Oryza sativa Japonica Group: one gene and its partner. The protein of the gene in region 1 interacts with the protein of each later gene in a biochemical or structural test. Links are inferred from orthologs where the notes say so. Each region holds a gene or a part of one and is shown on either strand. Other genes may lie near its edges.

Region 1 (4,324 bases):
GAACCGTTAGCCCTTTTCTCCATAGACTCACATGATGAGGCCTGATCAGATGTGCTGCTACATTCCGCTTCACTATGTTGGTGATCAACTTTGAAGATTGGCCTGTTGTAGTGAGTTAGAACTCTAAGAATTTCTCCACAGGCCAAGGCCCACTGCTCCGAGTACTCTTTCTGCATAAAAGTTGCATCTTTATGAGCAAGAGTAGTTTGATAAGCTATAAGCAGCACAGTTTAGATATAATATTGAAATGCACAGCAGAGGCAAAATCTTATCAAACACAGAGAAATGAACCAATAAATTGGAACTAACCATTAGAGTAGGGGCCTTACCTCAGAAGTATGGCTAAATAAAGAGATGAAGGACATGAACGGGAAACCATTTCTATCATAACTGAGTGTCCCATCTATGATGCGTGACAGAATCGGATGCACAACTGCATGGCCATGCTCAGGATGATGAAGAACAAAAGTTGCTGGAAATATGAGAAAAATATGTCAAACTCTTTCTTCAATTGTTTGTGGAACATGTATTGATCACTGGATCAAATTACCTAATACTTCATCTACAAGGCGCTTTTCTTTTGATGGATAGCAACTTTGAATTAGCTGCAAGCATGCAAGAAAAAGAATGCAAAAGTTAACACACTGGAGAAAGATTTTATCACAGAAGATACTAAACATGCTTAGAGATACAGTACCTGAGCTATATCTTCAGGGAATTGCTCACTGTCAGCTGTAAACTGGCCAAAGTACTCAACATAGGCCAGAATTTGTGCCTTCAGAGAGGAGACGCAACCAAGTTTCCCATTGAGGCAAGTATGTTCAACATATAGAATTTCTAACAAGAATCAAATAGGAATAATGTTACCTGTTTTTGTTGTGAATCCTGTGGTGGGGGCCAGAACAGTGATGAGAACTGGAGCCCATCAATCCACTTCTCATTTGAAGCTGACATACTTGGTAGCTCAAGAGCCTGCCCAAGAAACTGAGAGAATTCTCAAAGAGAAAGAAAGAAACTACACAAACTGCTCCAGTTAGCAATAAAAGCACCTGTAATCAACACCACGTTGAAGCCGCCAGTTAGTTCATCCATTTATGCCACCAAAGTCCAAATCTTCTTATAAGCTACTTGCCTTGGTATCAAGAAACTTCGAGCAAGAAAGTTATAAGAGTGCTATCCACTTCATTCAATCAACCCCCATAACGGGGGTCTGCATCTCACAACGTGACACGTTATCATATCAACCAATGCCAACCATATGAGCTTCAGAGTCTCTACACTGTAATATATCGCACAACAAAAACCAAAAAAGGAGGAAAATACATGAATTTTAATTAATGCAAAAAAAAATTTACTCCCTCCGTTTCATATTATAAGCCGTTTGACTTTTTTCTTACTGAAATTTCTTCCAAGTTTGACTAAGTTTATAGAAAAATATAGAAGTATTTTCAACACAAAAAAAACATATTATCAAAATATATTCAATGTTAGATTTGATGAAACCAATTTAATATTTTAGATATTGCTAAATTTTACTATAAACTTTGTCAAACTTAACAAAGTCTGACTAGGAAAAAAGTCAAACGACTTAAAATATGAAACGGAGGGAGTAGAAAAAAACTGACAAATGAAAAGAGAGGGAGGTAATGCAACGAAAATTGCATAATCTTACAAGCGCATTATTTTATTGTCAAGTACAACTAAATTCATAATCAAACGAAAAAATATATCTAGGAAAAAGGTGGAAGCTTTCTCGTTTTTAATTATCGAAATGAAAAGGTACATGTTGCAATCATTTATAAGGTAAAGTTTACCATAACATTTAGTTATGGTGCAAGCTCACATGTCGATAAATATGTTAAGGAAGGCATCATAGAAATAGGCAAATTTATGGTAATGCTAATGGATGTGGTGTACAGAACCATTCACTTGGTTCCTCGTAGGCTCCTATGGCTTATCACACAAAATCAATAGATGTGTTTTTCGTGACATTTATACTTCATTTGTTATTCCACGTCACTCATCGGTCTGTTTTTGTTGGTCGATTATAAATGTATTGTCTAAGACAGAATTTAATGATGTTGTTCTATCTTGTTATTCTTTCTTTTTTTGGCAAGCAAAGATTCTATTTCGGGTACTATGACACCGAACCAGAAAGTATATTACCTAAAGCATAGAAATGGAAAATATATAGGAACAAAACAGGTTCTTCTTTTGGTGTTTAATTACAGGTGTCTCTGCTCATCGGTTGGTGTCTGTATTCACTTCCACTGTTAACGAAATGAGGAAGGGATCCCTTGTTACTGTTTCAGGGGAAAAAATATTAAAGCAGAGCTAGCTTACTGCGAATTAATTTTCAGTAATTATCCCCGCACAAATTACATCCACAGCCGTATGCACCACATCTAAACGCCTCCACGAAGCAGCAAAATCCAGCTAGAATCAACGCTACTCGCCTAAAAAAACCACAAAAACCTCCTGAAATTCGCAGTAATAAGCATCCATCTCGCGTTGATCTATCCGATGCCACGAATTATTACAATACTAATCAGCTCAACCTCGCCGTCAAATTTCAAAACTAATTTCCCTTTCACGTCTTCAAAATCCCAACCGCATCTACCACCAAAACTCTCTCCCCCCAAACAAAAATCCCCTCAACATAACACCACAAATCCACCCGAACCACCTCGCCCCCCATACACGACAACCTTAGAAAGGCCATCATCAAAACCAGCCTAAAAATAGTTTTAAAGAAAAAACCACCAAGCACAGCACAGAAAAACTAAAACCGCACGGGAAAAATAAAAAAGCATTACCTCGATCAGCCTTTCAACCAATCCGGACCTCACGCGGCGTAGACGGCGGCGGCGGCGAGGGGATAGACGCGCGCGGCGGCGACACGGGCGGTGGAGGAGGCGCAGGGGAAGGAGGAGGAGAGAGAGAGGGAGAGAAACGGCTCGGAGGAAGGAGAGGCGAGAAAAAGATTTTTTCCGGGGATGGTGGTGGTGGTGGTGGTAGTGGCCGCGCTATTTCCCACCCGCGCGCGCGCGTGGGGTGGGGGCCCACGCGGCGGTTCCGGGTCGCCGACACGTGGGGGCGGGTGATGTGGGGCCCACGTGTCGGTGATAGGCGGGTGGGGTAGCTGCGGGGTGAGATACTTATTCGTGAGTGCGGCGGGGGGGTGGGAAGGCTTTGCTTGGCTTGGCGGATCGCCTCCTGGCGATTGCTGACATGGCCTTGATATTTTCGGGGGTGCATGGCATGTATGTATGTATGTATGTATGCTTGGTGATCGTCATGCATGACCCCCCATGGCCATGGCCAATGACATGGATTTTGTGGTTCTAGTCCTTGTGTTGTGAGATTATTGCGAAATGGTCCCTATGATTTTTGAGGTACTATCATGGTAAGCGGTTAAAGTGGAGGTATATATCCATTTTCTTTTGCAAGTGAATGATTACTTTTTTTAGAGAGTTGACTAAGGCTCCCATCGGTTGTCATTTTACCCAAAATGACTTATTTGGCTTATTAGAAAATTAAAATTAATTTATAAGTAAAACTTTTGTAGATTTGTTCGTAGCGACTTAAAAGCCAACATTAACAAAAATTACGTTAAAAGCATTTCAAAATCAACTTCAAAATCAAGTTCAAAAATTCAAATTTTGGCTTATTCTTTGGCTGTTTAGGCCAAACGATGGGGCTATAAAATTTAGCCTCTGTATTCAAACTGGATCTACACGGTTAAAGTGATAAGAGCAAATTTAATAGTAAAGTCAACAAGTTGCTATAAGCTCCTATTCCATGCGTCCCAAAATACAAGGTTAGTTCTATTTTCCTCTCATCTCTCTTTCTCTCTCTACAAATTTAGGCTGAGTTCTTTCTCCGAATTTTTCAACTCACTTTCCTCGTTTTTCACGCGTACGTTTTTTAAACTGCTAAAAACAGTATGTTTTTTTGCAAAAATTTTATATACAAAATTGCTTAAAAAATCATATTAATCTATTTTTTTAAAAAAAATAGTAAATGGTTTATTAATCATAAGAAAATGTGTCACTCCATTTTACGTGCGTAGGAGGTGAGTTTCCAATCTCACCTCCCGAAACACAACCTCAATGTTTCTATGTTGGAGTATACGTAGAGATGGCTCTTGTTCGAGAGGCAACAATACACGTTTTCTTTTATTTCTTTCCTCCGTATATGTTTATAGTTGGTTTATATCTAAATAGTGTACTTGCTCTTAAATGATAGTGAGATTGCATGTTCCTTGAGCTTCTAAACAATGTGATTTGTATGAAAAAATTTGCATATGAACTTTATAAAAATA
Region 2 (4,611 bases), on another chromosome or scaffold:
GAATCGGCTGAAACAAGTTTGAGTCAACAGAGTAATGTGAGAAGCTTCTCTAGGCCCTCTGTCAAGTTATGTCACTGTTAGCTTGATGCAAATATGATACAGTTGAACAACTCGTATAAATGAAAAATGATAGTAGAATAACAGCAATTCAAGCATAGAGAACATGCATTTGTCTATTAGCTTTGTCGCAGACAACGAAGAAGAATGTGGCTTTTTGTTTGGTTTCAAATGTATTCTGTTAACCTAGTGCTAATTGCTAACATTGCTAAACATTAGGCAGAAACTAGTCCAGCTATTTTTTTTATGCTTTGTTGGACTTTAGTCGAAATGCAAAAAAAAAAAAAAAACCCTACATTGAATACTTAATTATGTTAGCCAATGCCTAGAGCTTATGCTGATTGCTGAATGTCCAAACTACTCCCTCCATCCCAAAATGTTTGACGCCGTTGACTTTTTTAAAAATGTTTGACCGTTCGTCTTATTCAAAAAATTTAAGTAATTATTAATTCTTTTCCTATCATTTGATTTATTGTTAAATATACTTTTATGTATACATATAGTTTTACACATTTCACAAAAGTTTTTGAATAAGACGAACGGTCAAACATGTTTAAAAAAGTCAACCGTGTCAAACATTTAGGGAAGGAGGGAGTACTTATGATGGAACACAGGTTTAACTAAACTCATCCAATGAATCTTTTGGAAATAAAATTAATATGTTTGGAATTGTTTGTGATGGCATGATATGTCAAAATGTAATATAAGAGACAAGTTCTTGCATCATGTAAGCAATTCAATAAATTGTTTTTCAAGAATTTTCATAATCTGACAAAAGAGAGGCTAATTGTGCAGACTGCACACAAGAATATTTACCATTCGACGTGGACGATTAGAGCAAATCACCACAAAATGGTAAAACGACATTTACGGAATGAGTCCCTAAAAGACTTTCCCCTTCTTTCCCAACTCACATCTCTCGTTTTCTGCGCGCACGCTTTTCAAACTGCTAAACGGTGTGTTCTTTGCAAAATTTTCCTATAGGAAAGTTGCTTTAAAAAAAATCATATTAATCCATTTTTTAATTTTTTTTAGGCTAGTACTTAACTAATCTCGCTCTAATCGCTTACATTGTTTTCCGTGTCAGGAGGTAAACCTTGCCTCCTGAAGACAGCCTTAAGCAGTACAGCACGAAAATCAAGTTCAAACATTTACAACCCAAGTCAAATTTCTCAAAGTTTATCTTCATATTACATCCAGAACTTCCATTTATGCTCAAAATTGAGTTCCGAATTCTGAAACTGACCATAATCAGCTACTTGTCAACTGAAAACCCTTGCAGGTGTAGTACTGTAGTACACTTATAAGGTTGTCACCAATAATAGCTTTCCATATTGTTAATACGGATCAAATTTCACAGTTGGTGTCCAAATTCAATGTTAATTTGTCATGTGAATACATTCATAGTTAATTATTTTCCAGTACCATCCAAGAGAGGAGGAAAAAGTCTTACTAATCCAGTATAATATATCCTCCTAGAGCACTAGCAGGCGACCACTAAATATGATATATGCCAATGGAAGACTAAAGTTACTAAGTATTAATTGGTAGCCCGGTGGTAAAAAATAAAAAGGCCTGGCTAAAACCGTGATGCTCCCTGTTGTAAATTTTTGTACCCACATGCTACAGACAACTGTGCTATATTCCAATTAATGGCCTACCCATCTCATTTTATATTCACAATATATGCTACAGTTTATTCTTCCATCATCCCTTTTTCTATGTGCAAGTGGCTACTTTAGTAGAGCAAGAGAAGAGAAGATATATCAGGGGAAAATATCTAACGGGTAGCCATCACCCTTGCTTGCCCAGCCTCTTCCCACCAGAAAACAAAAATGACCCAGAGCCAGAAAGAATATATGAACATTTCGTTGTTCGCCTCTAAGGTCCAATGCAAATATGCGATATAGAACTTCCATACACAAAATTTGTTTCAAAAGCCATTTCATAAATTTAGCAATAACATGAATATATCCAAACTAGATCGCGTAAGCACCTTTCAGGCTTTTACTGTACTTGAACAACATTATCTACAATTTACTTCGATTGTTGGCTTGCTCGTGCTGTGCTTAATGTGTAGATTAAAAATCAACAATGTCACCATTACTCAGAGATTGGCTCTAAAATACAGATGGTCTAACAGAAACAGTACACTTCAAATTCTGGCTAAATCTCATACTGGCATGATACCCATCTATAAATTTCAAAAAAAAAAAAAACAACCAATCAAAAGTGAGGATAAAATGCTAAAATTTACAGCAACTAGTCAGGAATCACGCATCATCGCCGCAATTGCAAGCATTAAGGCAGAGACAGAGTGGTGCGCACTCTGCACCGTACGCCTGTACAGGAACCCCCTAATTCTAACAAATGCGCATTAAAATCTCAAGGTTTGACTGCACGGCAAAAGCTCATTAAATTCAACAACACAGCCATCCACAACCACCATCAATCTCGCCAACATATCGAGCTGGAATCGAATCGAGAGCACCAAAAAAAAAAAACAAGCAGCATTTCGCCATCCCCATCCAACCACACCAGATCAGAGCAGAGCGGCATCGATCGGGGAACAGCTAAGAGCAGGGCGCGCACGAGGGCTCACCAGTTGCGGCCGAGGACCTCGTCGGCGCGGTACCCCGTGGCGGCCTCGAAGGCGGCGTTGACGTAGATGACCGGGAAATCCACCTCCACCGCGTCCGACACCACGATCGCCGCCGCCCTCCCCTCCCACGCCGCCGCCTCATCCTCCCCCGCTAGCCCCCCCGGCGGCCTCCACACCCACCCCACCTCCTCCTCCTCCTCATCCACCTCCATCCCCTCCTCCTCCTCCTCCTCCTCCTCGCACAGCTTCATCCTCTTCACCGCCACCACCCCGCCGCCTCCGCCGCGATCCCCCGCATCAAACATCTCTCCTCTCTCCTCTCTCTCTAGAACTTTCTCTCTCCTCGATGTGCTTCGAAATGGCGGAGGCAGAGCTGAGCTGAGCTGGGATGAGACGGTGGGGGAGATATTTTCGCGGCGGGGTTTATATCCGCGCGGGGTGGGTGGGGGAGAAGGGGCAGGGAGTTGGGGGTTAATTACGTGATCTGCCACCAAAATATCTCGCGGGGGGTGGTGGTGGGGGTGGGGCCCGCGCGGGCGGCAAAAGGACGGCGCACGGATGGGGGCCACTTGGGGGGGAGGGGGAAGCATCCAACGGCGCACCTTGTTTTGCTTTTTCCACTCGTGAGAGAGGTGGAGACGTGGAGTGGAAGGGAGAGTATCTTCAGATTGTCAGCTTCACTAGCGTAATTATTTTTTTTGTTCTTTCCCTCTCCACCTCTCTCTTTTTTTTATAGGAAAAGACCAGATATTAGGGGTGTAAAAATCTAAGAGCAAGTTTAGGCTCTGATCGGAAGCGAGGGTTGGGAACGAAGCAGCGTTTTAGTGCGTGATTAATTAAGTTTTAGCTATTTTTTTAAAAAAATAGATTAATATGATTTTTAAGCAACTTTTGTATAAAAACTTTCTACAAAAAAATACACCGTTTAGCAGTTTGAAAAGCGTGCGGGTGGAAAACGAGGAGGAGTTGGGAACTTATACTACCGAACGGAGCCTAAAAGTAGAGCAAACCACTATCTATAAATTAATCTAAGAGTTAACATATATATAATATATTAGGCTCCCATCGGATGGCCTAATTAGTCAAGAAAAAGTCAAAATTTAAATTTTTAAATTTAATTTTGAGATATTTTCAATGTAGTTTCTTTTTCAGCATTGGCTTTTAAGTCAGAAAAAACATATATATAAAAATTTTGTCTACAGATTTATTTTTATTCTCTAATAAACTGTTTTGGCTTATTAGTGGAAAAGCCAAACGATGACGGGACCGTTAGTTACCAGGTTGTATCTTATGTTCTTCTCCTCTCTATATGTAATTAATTTATTTGTTTACGAGAATGTGTATAGTTATCTCTTGCATAAGAGCTGGGACTCATCGTTTCCCTTGTTCTCTCTCCTTTACATAAGTATATAGTTGGTTTATAGTCTACTATTGAACTTGCTCTAGAGGGATTAGTGAAAATTTGGTTTCTTCTTGTACTAGAGTACTGCATAGAGCATTTAATTACCCCTCAAAAAAATAGTAGAATCTAATAATTGCGTACGCTAAATAAAAGACTTAGGGTTTGTTTGGGAAGCTCGAAATTCTGGGAAGCAATTTCGAAGCAAATGGTGGATAACTAATAGTTAGAATTAAAAAATAGATTTATTAGCTTATGATTTAATATCTACAAATTTTTAGAATCTAAGTGAAAATTTGAACGGTTTAAGCCAAAGATTCCAGAAGTAGCTAGCGGTTATATGCCACTTGATTGAATCTCAATTATGTTTTTTACACATGCAGAGAAAATGTGATAAAAGAAGTATTCTCATTGACGTTTATTGGACACGACTAATTCAGCATCGAAAATACAACACAATACCTAAATATTAAGTTTATAACATGCACACTTATTTTCGTAGTTTGATTCATCGAATATAAGTTTATTGTGTGGATGTTTCTTTTAAGATGGA

What was found.
Region 2: the proteins of protein GIGANTEA (region 1) and adagio-like protein 3 form a complex in vitro, tested with the Arabidopsis thaliana proteins (2 studies listed by BioGRID). The link is inferred for Oryza sativa Japonica Group from reciprocal best matches to the Arabidopsis thaliana genes GI and FKF1.

Annotation. Positions count from the first base shown.
Region 1 is NC_089035.1:4,346,078-4,350,401, forward strand, and holds the start of protein GIGANTEA, read right to left. Parts: upstream 3,004-4,324; 5' UTR 2,817-3,003; intron 1,280-2,816; 5' UTR 1,050-1,279; exon of another isoform or gene 973-1,049; 5' UTR 955-972; coding exon 868-954; intron 776-867; coding exon 698-775; intron 606-697; coding exon 551-605; intron 473-550; coding exon 330-472; intron 171-329; coding exon 1-170. UniProt on the Arabidopsis thaliana protein: Involved in regulation of circadian rhythm and photoperiodic flowering. May play a role in maintenance of circadian amplitude and period length. Is involved in phytochrome B signaling. Stabilizes ADO3 and the circadian photoreceptor ADO1/ZTL.
Region 2 is NC_089045.1:22,116,908-22,121,518, forward strand, and holds the start of adagio-like protein 3, read right to left. Parts: upstream 3,058-4,611; 5' UTR 2,965-3,057; coding exon 2,660-2,964; intron 59-2,659; coding exon of another isoform or gene 58-58; exon of another isoform or gene 8-57; coding exon 1-7. UniProt on the Arabidopsis thaliana protein: Component of an E3 ubiquitin ligase complex that plays a central role in blue light-dependent circadian cycles.